Linked DNA regions of Drosophila melanogaster. Changing the gene in region 1 together with any one later gene gives a genetic interaction. Each region holds a gene or a part of one and is shown in the gene's direction. Other genes may lie near its edges.

The links. Genes that interact genetically often act in the same process or in processes that back each other up.
Region 2: of Gr43a (region 1) and Gr61a, changing one enhances a phenotype caused by changing the other (phenotypic enhancement), as found in Drosophila melanogaster (one study listed by BioGRID).

Annotation. Positions count from the first base shown.
Region 1 is NT_033778.4:7,389,691-7,395,766, reverse strand, and holds Gr43a (gustatory receptor 43a), read left to right. Parts: upstream 1-2,605; 5' UTR 2,606-2,617; coding exon 2,618-2,771; intron 2,772-2,834; coding exon 2,835-2,889; intron 2,890-3,250; coding exon 3,251-3,395; intron 3,396-3,462; coding exon 3,463-3,625; intron 3,626-3,727; coding exon 3,728-3,871; intron 3,872-3,926; coding exon 3,927-4,212; intron 4,213-4,268; coding exon 4,269-4,620; intron 4,621-4,682; coding exon 4,683-4,745; 3' UTR 4,746-4,898; downstream 4,899-6,076. Other genes in the region: Glo1 (glyoxalase 1), read left to right, coding at 41-177, 250-336, 1,806-1,919, 1,978-2,098; Dhx15 (DEAH-box helicase 15), read right to left, coding at 4,960-5,087, 5,146-5,499, 5,567-5,689. UniProt on the Drosophila melanogaster protein: Gustatory receptor which mediates acceptance or avoidance behavior, depending on its substrates. Gr43a is the main sugar receptor in larvae. Functions as a narrowly tuned fructose receptor in taste neurons but also as a fructose receptor in the brain.
Region 2 is NT_037436.4:838,822-845,003, forward strand, and holds Gr61a (gustatory receptor 61a), read left to right. Parts: upstream 1-2,629; 5' UTR 2,630-2,896; coding exon 2,897-3,041; intron 3,042-3,101; coding exon 3,102-3,293; intron 3,294-3,342; coding exon 3,343-3,537; intron 3,538-3,589; coding exon 3,590-3,756; intron 3,757-3,812; coding exon 3,813-3,935; intron 3,936-3,992; coding exon 3,993-4,147; intron 4,148-4,198; coding exon 4,199-4,451; intron 4,452-4,509; coding exon 4,510-4,590; 3' UTR 4,591-4,880; downstream 4,881-6,182. Other genes in the region: CG13887 (uncharacterized protein), read left to right, coding at 429-611; JMJD5 (jumonji domain containing 5), read right to left, coding at 1,237-2,169, 2,221-2,493; Cep290 (centrosomal protein 290kDa), read left to right, coding at 5,545-5,862, 5,920-6,093, 6,147-6,182. UniProt on the Drosophila melanogaster protein: One of the few identified sugar gustatory receptors identified so far with glucose being its primary ligand and which mediates acceptance behavior.

The DNA of each region.
Region 1 (6,076 bases):
GCCATCGCGCAACGCAACTAACCCGCTGTCGGCGGCGCAGGACTTCCTCTTCCAGCAAACCATGTACCGCATCAAGGATCCACGCAAGTCGCTGCCTTTCTACACGGGCGTCCTCGGGATGACCTTGCTGGTGAAACTGGACTTCCCCGAGGCCAAGTTCTCGCTGTACTTTCTGGGGTAAGGTCGATTGCTCCGGCTTATCTTAATTTGATATTGATACAATGACAATCGCTTTTGTATCTGGCCCAGGTACGAGAACGCCACCGATGTGCCTAAGGATCCCAAGCAGCGACGCAGCTGGGCGCTGAGCCGCAAGGCCACCATTGAGTTGACCCAGTAAGTGGTTTTCCGTTTGTGCATGCGATTCGCAAGGTTCCATTTGAGTAGGCCCTTCTAATGTCATGACTCTAGGAAAAGGTTATTTGAATAGTCCATAGTGGCGGTACAATACCAATCTTAATATGGATGTAGATATCATCTACAAGGAACACTTCCAACAGAAACTCCTCCGCAATCAGATGGAATTTCATTCAAAGGCATTTTAGAATTGTCATGCGTGTAAAAAAGATAGTTCCATATGGATATTCTATTTTTACATTTCGTAACTCGTTTTTGTAGATATGATAGCTTCAACTACAGCATGCGGCAGCATAATTTCCTTTTTTTTTCAGAACTCAATGAAAATCTATTGTAGGCATCGGAAAATATTTATTTGTTTTTATAATTTAGGTACATGTCTAAAGATTTTATTTATATTTTTTTGAAGATGAAATATGACAGGTGACGTTTCCCATTCTCCATACATTGCGTAAACCGATTTCTGGCGTTTGGGGAAAAGGGGACAGATCGGGAGAGCGTGCCGTCCATTCCAAATCACCTTTAATTGGGATGAGGCGCTCTGAAAGTGTTCCCTCAAAACAGCCATCGATGCTGTATGCGATGGTGTATGCCGTTGCACCTTCTTGTTGAAACCAAGTGTTTACTGTGACCTTTGGTGAAAGCAAAGGCCTTTCATGCAAATATAGAGGGTTGCTGTCAGCCCAGTAGCGCATATTTTTTTTGTTTGTAAACCGACCGACATAAATGAAAATGGGCTTCTGAAAGTTCCTGCACTACGCCATCTTATATGGATGAAATTGAAGATCATCATGCAAAATTCTGCTCACAGAACGATCGGATAGTCAGTCCAAGGGCAGATGCGTGTTTGCGCGCAGAACGCCGCGGAGATCACAATATTGACCCTGTCACTGCTTCAATGTTCTCAGGTGATCTAACTGGGTCGGGGGACTCCAGTTCTTCGTTTTGTCGCACTTGCAGTTTGCCTGAATGTAGTGACCCATGTAAAAATCGATTTGCGGTCTGGGACGGGAGCCAACGGGGCTAAATTAAAGCGATTCCGAAATGCACGCTGCGTTTAAAGACCCGAACATCCGCTTGAAAAGTAGGCCTCATCGGCAAAGGCACGCTCCTCACTATTTCAACGCATGTTGGCGACTGAACCGTGTAGGGACAAAACTTTGCAGTAGCCCCTCTTGAACGTGGCCAGTAGCGTTTCGCTATGATATGAACTAACTGAATGGCGCGCATTTTAAAAAAGGAAATTATACTGCCGCACGCTGTATTTTTACATTTCTTAAATCGTTTCCTTAGACATTATAGATCCACCTATAACTCGAGAACTATGTACTTGTATATATATTAATTTGGCCTTTAGTTTTTAATCAAAACTTACACCTAAACTAGAGGTCCTCGATTATATAAAGGAAATACGTATAATTCTACTAATCTTCTGCTCTTTTCCGTAGCAACTGGGGCACTGAGAGGGATCCGGATCAGAATTACCACACCGGCAACACCGATCCACGTGGTTTCGGACACATTGGAATCATGGTGCCCGACGTGTACGCCGCCTGCCAGCGGTAAGTAATGTCAATGGGAAAGTCCTGTTCTTTTTCAAAGACGCAATCTTTCCCGCAGCTTCCAGGAGCTTGGCGTGGACTTCGTGAAGAAGCCCGACGACGGCCGCATGAAGGGACTGGCCTTCATCAAGGACCCCGACGGCTACTGGATCGAGATCTTCAATGCACACTCCGTCTAGTCTGGCTGGCAGATAGAATTAACTTGATTAATTGCGCATCTGCCACTGTTCCTTAATAGCGATCCCCACTAGGCTGGACCGCCGAGTGGAGTCGCAACAATAAATGAGAAATTGTGTAACAATTGGGCTGTGGACCTCATTCACTCGGGTGCACCTGTCGCAGCTGCCGCAGCTGTCAACGTCGGCCCCAAAATAATTGGCTCCTGCTCCTGTGTCCTTTTTCCGGCTTGGTATTTTCACACGCTAATTATTATTTACATCGCGGACAGCCGAGCTTTTTGATAAGCAAATGTGTTACTCACTCGCACATGGGGTGTTTGCCCAGACGGTCTGCGAGGGCCATGTGGTCATGGTGTGGGGCGTGGATGGTGGTGGCCACTAATAATAGTCAAATATGGGAGCGCAGTATTTGTTTGGTGTCGAATATGGCGTTTTGCAATTTAAGGTCCTGTATTTGGCGACTCGAGAACAGTTCTCGTCCAGAGGTCGTACTGCGAGTGTCCCGCGTTCTGAATTACTATGGAGATATCCCAGCCCAGCATCGGCATCTTCTACATCAGCAAAGTGCTGGCCCTGGCTCCATATGCTACGGTCCGGAACTCCAAGGGCCGGGTGGAAATTGGTCGCAGCTGGCTCTTCACTGTATACTCGGCCACATTAACGGTGGTTATGGGTGAGTTGAGCATCCAAAGGCGGGTGACTTCCTTCTGACTAAACGCTATCCGCATCTGCGTAGTTTTTCTCACTTATCGGGGTCTCCTGTTCGATGCTAACTCCGAAATTCCCGTGCGGTAGGTACTTTTGTATCTACATCTATGTTTCCTACTTGTAAGGTCCCAGTTCTGTGCCGTTTTTTTTTTACTAATCTCTACGGGCTTGTCCCATTCAAGGATTTTAAAGTAGTGACACTCGGAGTGGAGTCCTGCACTTTTAGAACCCATATCTTATCAAATATGTATAAGTAATACTTTCCTCTCAAGAAGGATATGATTTTGTTGCGGAGGGTGTCATTACTTTGATCCTAATTGTGTGTATACTTTTCTCGATTTTTCTCTATCTAATCATCACCTCTGCTCCCTTCTAAACACATTCGATCTTGACCAATTAATTGCTCTGACAAACTGCAAACAAAACCAACCAACAAATCAAAAGTGCATCTTTTAGAATGAAGTCGGCTACGTCGAAGGTGGTGACGGCCCTGGACGTGTCTGTGGTGGTCATGGCCATTGTATCCGGTGTTTACTGTGGCCTTTTCAGCCTGAACGACACTCTCGAGCTCAACGATCGACTAAACAAGGTGAGATCACGTCAATCATAGATCCACCCTCCTTTTATTTGTTATAATCACCCAATAAACACCCCAGATCGATAATACCCTAAATGCCTACAATAACTTTCGAAGAGATCGATGGCGAGCCTTGGGCATGGCTGCCGTCTCTCTGCTGGCCATTTCGATTCTGGTCGGCCTGGATGTAGGGACGTGGATGCGCATTGCCCAGGATATGAACATAGCTCAGTCGGATACGGGTAGCTAGCGCTTTAATGTATTCATTTATAAGCCGCCAAATAAATCTTAAAATGAAAGAAATCTATCTTTGAATCCCCACCTTTTCATTTTCTCTTCGACAGAGCTCAATGTGCACTGGTACATTCCATTCTATAGTCTTTACTTCATCCTCACGGGCTTGCAGGTTAACATTGCCAACACGGCCTATGGACTAGGAAGGCGCTTTGGCCGTCTGAACCGAATGCTTTCGAGCAGCTTTCTTGCAGGTAAGTGGTAATTTAAATTTCCAGGATTTTTGATTAGTTGTAAACCACCCAACAGAGAACAATGCAACCAGTGCCATCAAGCCACAAAAGGTCAGCACCGTGAAGAACGTTAGCGTAAATCGGCCAGCGATGCCATCGGCACTCCACGCGAGCCTGACGAAGCTGAACGGCGAAACCTTGCCCAGTGAAGCCGCAGGTGACAAGGCAGCCGCACGCAGTCTAATCCTCAACGTGGAGTTACTCAAATTGGGTTATTTTCCAGCCAAGAACAAGGGGTTGCTCCTCAAATCCCTGGCGGACAGTCACGAGTCGCTGGGAAAATGTGTCCACCTCCTGTCCAAGTAAAGTTATTCCACATCCCATGTTTTCGTGCTTCTTACCTTCCCGCACTTGACAGCTCCTTCGGCATTGCGGTTCTCTTCATCCTGGTGTCCTGTCTGCTGCACCTCGTGGCTACGGCCTACTTCCTCTTTCTGGAACTGCTCAGCAAGCGGGATAACGGCTACCTGTGGGTGCAGATGCTCTGGATTTGCTTTCACTTCCTGCGACTGCTCATGGTGGTGGAGCCGTGCCACTTGGCTGCCCGAGAGTCCCGTAAAACGATCCAGATTGTTTGCGAAATCGAGCGGAAAGTGCACGAGCCCATTCTCGCGGAGGCAGTTAAGAAGTTTTGGCAGCAGTTACTCGTCGTAGATGCTGACTTCTCCGCCTGCGGATTGTGCCGCGTGAACCGCACCATTCTGACATCGGTAAGGATTTAGACTACACTTAAATAATATCCATGTATTATTCTAATGCTATCTGGTTGCAGTTTGCATCCGCCATAGCCACCTATCTCGTGATTCTCATTCAGTTTCAACGGACCAATGGCTAAAGTTATACAAAAAGTGGCTTGTTTTTTATTAACACTATTAACTAAACGGAGTTCTTGGATATTATTGATCTGTTAAAGTGTCTATGTGCTTGAATCAAGTTAGCAAACAATAAAAAGCAAACGGGTTATTTTTCTTAGAACTTGCTAAAATTCACACACTCTTATCCATGATCCATTCTCCATCATATTACAACTAGCCATACTCTGGGGGGACTTAGAAACCCTTCTGGTACTGCTTGGTCTCCAACCGCTGTTGCAACAACTCCAGCTGTCGTTTCGCCTCGCACTGGGGGAAGTTGTTCAAGTCATAATATTGGGGCGCCAGGCAGCACAACCATTCAGCTATAAATGTAAGAAATGCTTACAAAAATGACCCTGAAATGCGGAAGTTGCTACTCACGTTTGACATCTGTCACCGTGCGAATGTAGTTCTTTGTAGTCAGCACGAACTCATTGTAGATGACCCAATCGGGCTTGTGGTCGAGACAAGTCGACGGATGCAGCTGCACGTTCTGGTTGTCCTTGATGGTCAGATAGTAGCCAGTGCGCTCCAGGTGGGCCACCTGCATGAAGAAGCCCTGCACGAGGGCCTTTCGGATGTTTACATAGTAGTCCTTCGAGGTGAATTCAGTGCTCGTGCGCCGCAAGTTGAAGCGGTCCATGATTCTAGCCAGCTGCTGGCGCACGTTATCCGCACTCTTTAGCGAGCGGAAGTTTATGAAGTTCTCGTAGCACCAGTTTGGATCCTCACTGCCTGAAAGAAATAAAGAAATATGTCTTTATGTTTCCATTTCGAGTATAGGTTGGTTTAGTTTACTTACTCTGCTTAAAGGCGTGATAGACATTAAGCAACGTCAGGTGGTCTCCGTCAATGTGGGCGAATCGCATCTTGGCCTCATCGGCAGCTTTCTTCGCCTCGTTGGGGCGAACGAAGCATTGTGGAACTTTGGCACGTTTGAATTGGTTTAGTTTCGATTAAGCGCAAGTTCAAAACAATTTTTAACATAAACAAATAGATTGTGCTTTCATTTTGTCAGCTAGGCAATCTAGAGGCTTGATTCAAAGATTGATTGCATTTGTGAGTTGCAAGTGCGTTCGCGGAACATTAAAAGATAAAAACACTATTTATTCGGGCATATTTTGCACATCAATCCATTCAAATAATGGGCTTGGACTTTTAAACGCATGTGCAACTTTTCTTTTCGAGTTGAATGCAAAGAACAAATAAATTGAAAAACTTTTTCCTTTGCATTGTTGCTTAAGAAATTACATAAATCCCTTCAAGAATATAGAATATACTTCCCCGAAACCTCAGACTTTCAATTTATAAC
Region 2 (6,182 bases), on another chromosome or scaffold:
TCTGGTACATTTTCTCAATTGGTTTTGAATATAAGATACGAAAAGGCTTTAAATGTAGTCTATTAACGATATAGAACTTTAAATACCAGTATATATCATGATTAAAATCTTAAACGTAAACTTAAATCAGTTTGAAGACCGAGTGAATTTGTCATAGGCTTAGTGCTTTTGTTTTGACCGCAGCTAAACGTTTTGAAACCACACCCAAACACATATGTTGGGCCACGATAAACAGAAGCCACCACTCGAAAGTTTAAACCTCTTGTTAACTCTTTAAACAGCTGTCAAGACTGCGGAGACGTGTGCAAGGACTCACCGCCCGAGTGTCCTAAGTATCCCCACCTAGAGCACCCACCTTATATCCATTCCCAAACACCCAAAACGAACAAAAATCCAATCGAAACTCAAACGAAATCCGAATTTTGCAGCTCAACAAGCTGCGCGAGCGCGTCCAGGAGCTAACCTCCGACTTGAATCGCGAAAAGAAGGACAAGGAGGCGGTTAAGTCGCAGGCGGAGAGCATCAACCGCGAGTACGACCGACTCACCGAGGAGTACAGCAAGCTGCAGAAGAAGATAACCATCGGCGGAGGCGGAAACAAGGATGATTAAACTCACTGGAGCCAAGTCCAACATTTAAATAACGATAAGACTTATAAGCATGGCGGTGGGGCAGCGAAAGCAGGCACATTTAAAAGATTATAACGATTTCAAATCGATAGAAAGCACACACATCTTATTGTTAATCCTCATAGATACAACTACATATACCATTTGATAATGATAATGGGGTATATTGATAATGGTCCCTCAACTCAATGTTCGTTTCGTCCGAAGTTTTGTATTTAATTCGTATGTGTTAAGTTTTGTTTGCCACAGTAACACACCCAAAAAGCGTCGTGGCTATTAAAAGAACAACCAAAAAGTACCCATCCAGTTGTGATCGATTCGATGATTCATCTGTTGGCGCGGATAGTCCACATCATGTCTGATAGTACACGGCAATGACGTCAGACGTCGCAACCTGTTTGCATACTTGGAGCTTAGAAATCGGAGGCGTTACATTATCGGTGTGCGAAAAGGGCATCGAATATGTTTCCTTGATAATTACCCAGAAATGCTAATCAAATTCGCATATTTAGTGATCTATCGTGGTTTTGCAGTGCATACTTTAATCTTAACTTGAACAGAGATCATCCTACATAAATTTGCTGTTCAATAAACTGCATTAAAATGCTTACTCCCACCAGAAGCTTACAGAGAAGCTAGGAGCTTCAGATCTCACATAGTGCCACCATTTGGGTGGCATGTACAAACAGTCACCAGGTTGCAGGAGCAGCTGGTAGAACTTCACCTTGGCTACCAAGGGATATGTTTCAGGATCCAGTTGAGCAGCATCTATTCGCGCTGTATTGGCCAAAAACTCACTGTCGTGGGGATACAGATTGTCTGTGTCTGCAGGAGCAGCTAGGATGATCCTCTTCGAACCGAATACCTGGCACAGCAAGTTGTGCTTGGGATCGTAGTGCATGGGAGATACGGTTCCAGCTGGTCCCAGCCAGGCTTTGATGTCCACAGCTCCTGGGGTATCTTCGTTGCTGATGGTGCAGTAGTCGGGAATGGATATATCCTCTTTGAGGGCTGGTATCTGGGCGAAGAGCTCGTGCTGAGCGAGATACTCGATATTTTGGCCAGCCTTGCTTGGTTCCTTTCCGAATTGTCTGCTCAGGAAGTCGCGGATCTTCACCAGCTGCTGGGACCATTCATCGCTGGCATAGTTGGAACCTATTTCAATGGGCACCGTGCGATTCCCGGCCACTTGGAGAAGGTAATTGAGATCCAGCCATTTGTGCAGTGCAGGCCAATGCTGGATGGTGTTGAGCAGGAGTGTGGGTTGTCCTGCCTCAAAGCACTTTGTCTGGAACTCTTCTAGACTGGGAGCGTCCAGTTGGGGTATATCACAGTTGGAGGTTACTCGGGTTAATGGCTCTAGAGTTGGAAGTGGTGCGGAATTCAGTGCTACTGCTCCATCCTTGTCGAGATAATCCATTAGGGCGACTTTCAGTTCACTCCAATCCTCCATGCAACCCAAAAGTTGAGCCTCATCGAGGATCTCACTGCACGCATCCTTCTGGGCGGGACTAGTGCTCTCCAAGAGAAGGAAAAAAATCTAAAATGTATATTTGTAGTTTGTATGGCTTAGTTAGCATCTAAATCCCACCTTGAAGCAACAGGCTATGGCGTATATCTTCCTCGTGACCAAGGGAACCTGGCTGAAGTGCCCTGTGTGAATGCGTTCCCAGTTCCTGTCCACCAGCGCACCTACCAGATATCCGGTTTCCTCCGCCCCGGAATCTCCGCCAGACCTCAAGTTCGCCAGGTGATCCGCGGCTCTTTTGAGTATGTAGCGCGCCTCGACTTCACCACGGACCACATTTTCCAGATCCACCCAGCGGGGCAGCAGCTGCGTCAGCTCCAGGAACTCACTATCCATAGAATGTTAAACAACTATTATTTGTTTACCTTTTAGCTTACATTCAGCGTTGCCAGAGTTCATTTGTAAGCATTAAATATTTCGATTAATCGATGTTTTAAAATATATTTAAAAATTGATGAGTTGTTCAGTACTTCAAACATGTATTGCTTAAGGATGCCTTTAGTAAATTATAAATAGTAGCTCCGTGGGTCCTTCCATGGTGAAGATACATTTTGCACTGGCACGAAATGGAAAAACGATTTCCATGGGCGGAGTTATGACCGCCGTTTTGGACGCCGAATGGCATTGTGTGCCCCAAGTGCCACTAATTACGGGTTTTAGACTAAGCTGCAGCTTGTAAACAACAATCATGAGACAAGAACCCGGATAGTGGAATTGCTGACGGTCAGAGCTGAGGAGCATGTCGAGGACTTCGGATGACATCCGGAAGCACCTGAAAGTGCGGCGCCAGAAGCAGAGGGCCATTTTGGCCATGAGATGGCGCTGTGCCCAGGGAGGATTGGAGTTCGAGCAGCTGGACACCTTCTACGGAGCCATCAGGCCATGTAAGACCACTTTTCCAAACCACTTTCATATGTGTCTAAACATATTACAATGGACAATAGATCTGTGTGTGGCGCAGTTCTTCGGCATTATGCCTTTGTCGAATATCCGGAGTCGCGATCCCCAGGATGTGAAGTTCAAGGTAAGGAGCATTGGCCTGGCAGTCACCGGTCTCTTCCTTTTGCTCGGTGGCATGAAGACCTTGGTCGGTGCCAATATTCTCTTCACAGAGGGTCTGAATGCCAAGAATATCGGTGAGTTTTAGATGGTATGGTAGTGTGATCCCAACTGAAAGCTCAATAGTGGGTTTGGTTTTCCTTATCGTGGGCATGGTCAACTGGCTAAACTTCGTGGGCTTTGCTCGCTCCTGGTCGCACATAATGCTGCCCTGGAGTTCGGTGGACATTCTGATGCTCTTTCCGCCCTACAAACGTGGCAAGCGAAGCCTTCGGTCAAAGGTCAACGTCCTTGCTCTGAGTGTGGTCGTCCTGGCAGTAGGTGAGATTTCTGGGTTATCCTTTCAATGGTTTCCAGAAGAACTTTCTTTCAGGCGACCACATGCTGTACTACGCCTCTGGCTACTGCAGCTATAGCATGCACATCCTGCAGTGCCACACAAACCACTCGCGTATTACCTTTGGACTTTATTTGGAGAAGGAGTTCTCCGACATCATGTTCATCATGCCATTCAATATATTTTCCATGTGCTATGGATTTGTAAGTTAACTATATATATTTTAGTTAGTTAGTTTGAATAATGCTCTCTTTTTTAGTGGCTAAATGGAGCCTTCACCTTTCTGTGGAACTTCATGGACATCTTTATTGTGATGACCAGTATTGGACTGGCGCAAAGGTTTCAACAGTTTGCCGCTCGAGTTGGCGCACTGGAGGGTCGTGTAAAATAATCCAAACTATTTCAATGTATTTCTCTTTTAAATCCCCATCCCATTTAGCATGTTCCCGAAGCCTTGTGGTACGACATTCGGAGGGATCACATTCGCCTTTGCGAGCTGGCCAGTTTGGTGGAGGCCAGCATGTCGAATATAGTGTTCGTATCCTGCGCTAACAATGTGTATGTGATCTGCAACCAGGCGTTGGCTATTTTCACGTGAGTCATCTGTTTGTAGCTACCCCCTAGTCTCATTTCAAATCTTTTTAGCAAACTGCGGCATCCCATAAACTACGTTTACTTCTGGTACTCGCTGATCTTCCTGCTGGCCAGGACGAGTCTGGTTTTCATGACTGCCTCCAAGATCCACGATGCCTCGCTTCTGCCCCTGAGGTCCTTGTACTTGGTGCCCAGCGATGGCTGGACGCAGGAGGTGCAGAGATTTGCCGACCAGCTGACCAGCGAGTTTGTCGGATTGTCTGGATATCGTCTCTTCTGCTTGACAAGAAAGAGTCTCTTCGGAGTGGGTAAACTTCACGAGTCTTCACGATTCCCATACTGATCCCAGCCATCCTCTCCAGATGCTAGCCACCCTGGTGACCTACGAACTTATGCTGCTGCAAATAGATGCTAAGAGCCACAAGGGACTGCGGTGCGCGTAACTAAATGAGTGAACTTTAGTCCAGTTTAACTTAACTGAATGTATAATAAAATAGTCAGATAATCAGATTTGAAAAAGGGTAGATTCCTGCGAGGAAAAGTCAGTTAGCAGCTCATGTGTGAGTTCAGCCAACCCGACTCGGGCGGTTATTAAATGGCCAAAAGGCTTCCAGGATAATTGGCCATTCCGAGTGTCATTTCAATTTCAATTTTTGGCCAGCTGTCATTCAGCGAGGGCGAATCCACAAATGGGAGGGCAACCAAAGTCGCTTGCCATTAGTTTCAATTATTGCTACACATGTAGGCAAACGTAATTTTGAAGGCAACTCGATGAGTTTTGAAAGGAGAAAGGAGTTGGAGTGCACTGAAAAATATGTTCGGAAGCTAAAGTTCTAAATAATAATAATCTTATCTTTACTGCTTACTTCTAAACCCTTTCAAAAGCCACTTGGTGTGCTCTGAACTAAATACCATTTTTTTTTCGAGTGTAAGAAAAGTTAACAGAAACACGAGAAGGCGGCGGAAAAGTCGCTTCGAACAGAAATGGCTTTTCAATTTCAAAACTCGGCCTTTGACACTTTGCCAATTAACACTTTCCTGGTTACCGATTGCCATTTTTGTTTGTGGTGGGCCACCGGCTGCTCCCACCGCCGATCCTTGCCGCTATAGCCGCCGTTGAGGCAATTATCCTGTCAGGAAACTTTCTACGCAGCCGAAGCAGCTAGCAAAACAGAACGCCAGCAAAAACAAAGGTCCTGCAGGTTGGTCACTTGAAAGGAGCGCGCCGGCACCCTCGTTTCCGGAAAAGCAACCCCCGAATGGGTTTTCAGTCGTAGTTTGTTTTGGGCCAAGTGTCATGGCAACCGGAAAAACTGGAGAGCTGGTGTGGAAAATCGGGGAATATTTGGACGCAGAACGTGAGTAACCGCCGAGGAGCGAGGCCATGAGCCACCAGGATGAGCATGGACATACCAGAGACCGTATCCCTGCGCAAGTTCCGCGACTTTTCGGCGCGCCAGAAGCAGGAGCTCTACGAAACGCTCCTCGAACTGGCCGAGTCCATCGATGAGCTGCCTAAGAAGTCGCTGAGGAAAACCCTGGAACTCACCCTGGCCGTTTTGGAGTACAAGGGCGAGCAGGTACAGCAGCTGCAGGAATCAGCAGCCGGAGGACTCTCCTCCGACCGCCGCCTGCAGGATGAGAATGAGAAGCTGAAGCGAATGCTCCAGAAGTTGGAGGACGAACGCGATGGCCTGAAGAGCAAAGCCAAGGAGGTGAGCAGTAGATCATGTAAAGTACCCAAGCTCAAGGATACGCTTTTTTCTCACTAGTTGGGGGAGGAAATCCGTCAGTTGGAGCTGCGCCTGCAGGAGGCGGCGCAGCAGGCGGAAATCAGCGACAAGGATTCATCGGATCCCCTGTCCGAGCTGGACAAGCAGGAGCAGCTGCTGCAGAACATCGACTCCAAGAACAAGCACATCAAGCGGCTGCTAAAGGAAATCGAGGTGAGTCATATTATGTTTTGCATTCAGAATATACTATATTCATTCCCTTTCAGACACTGCAAAACCAAAACATAGCTCAATCGAAGACC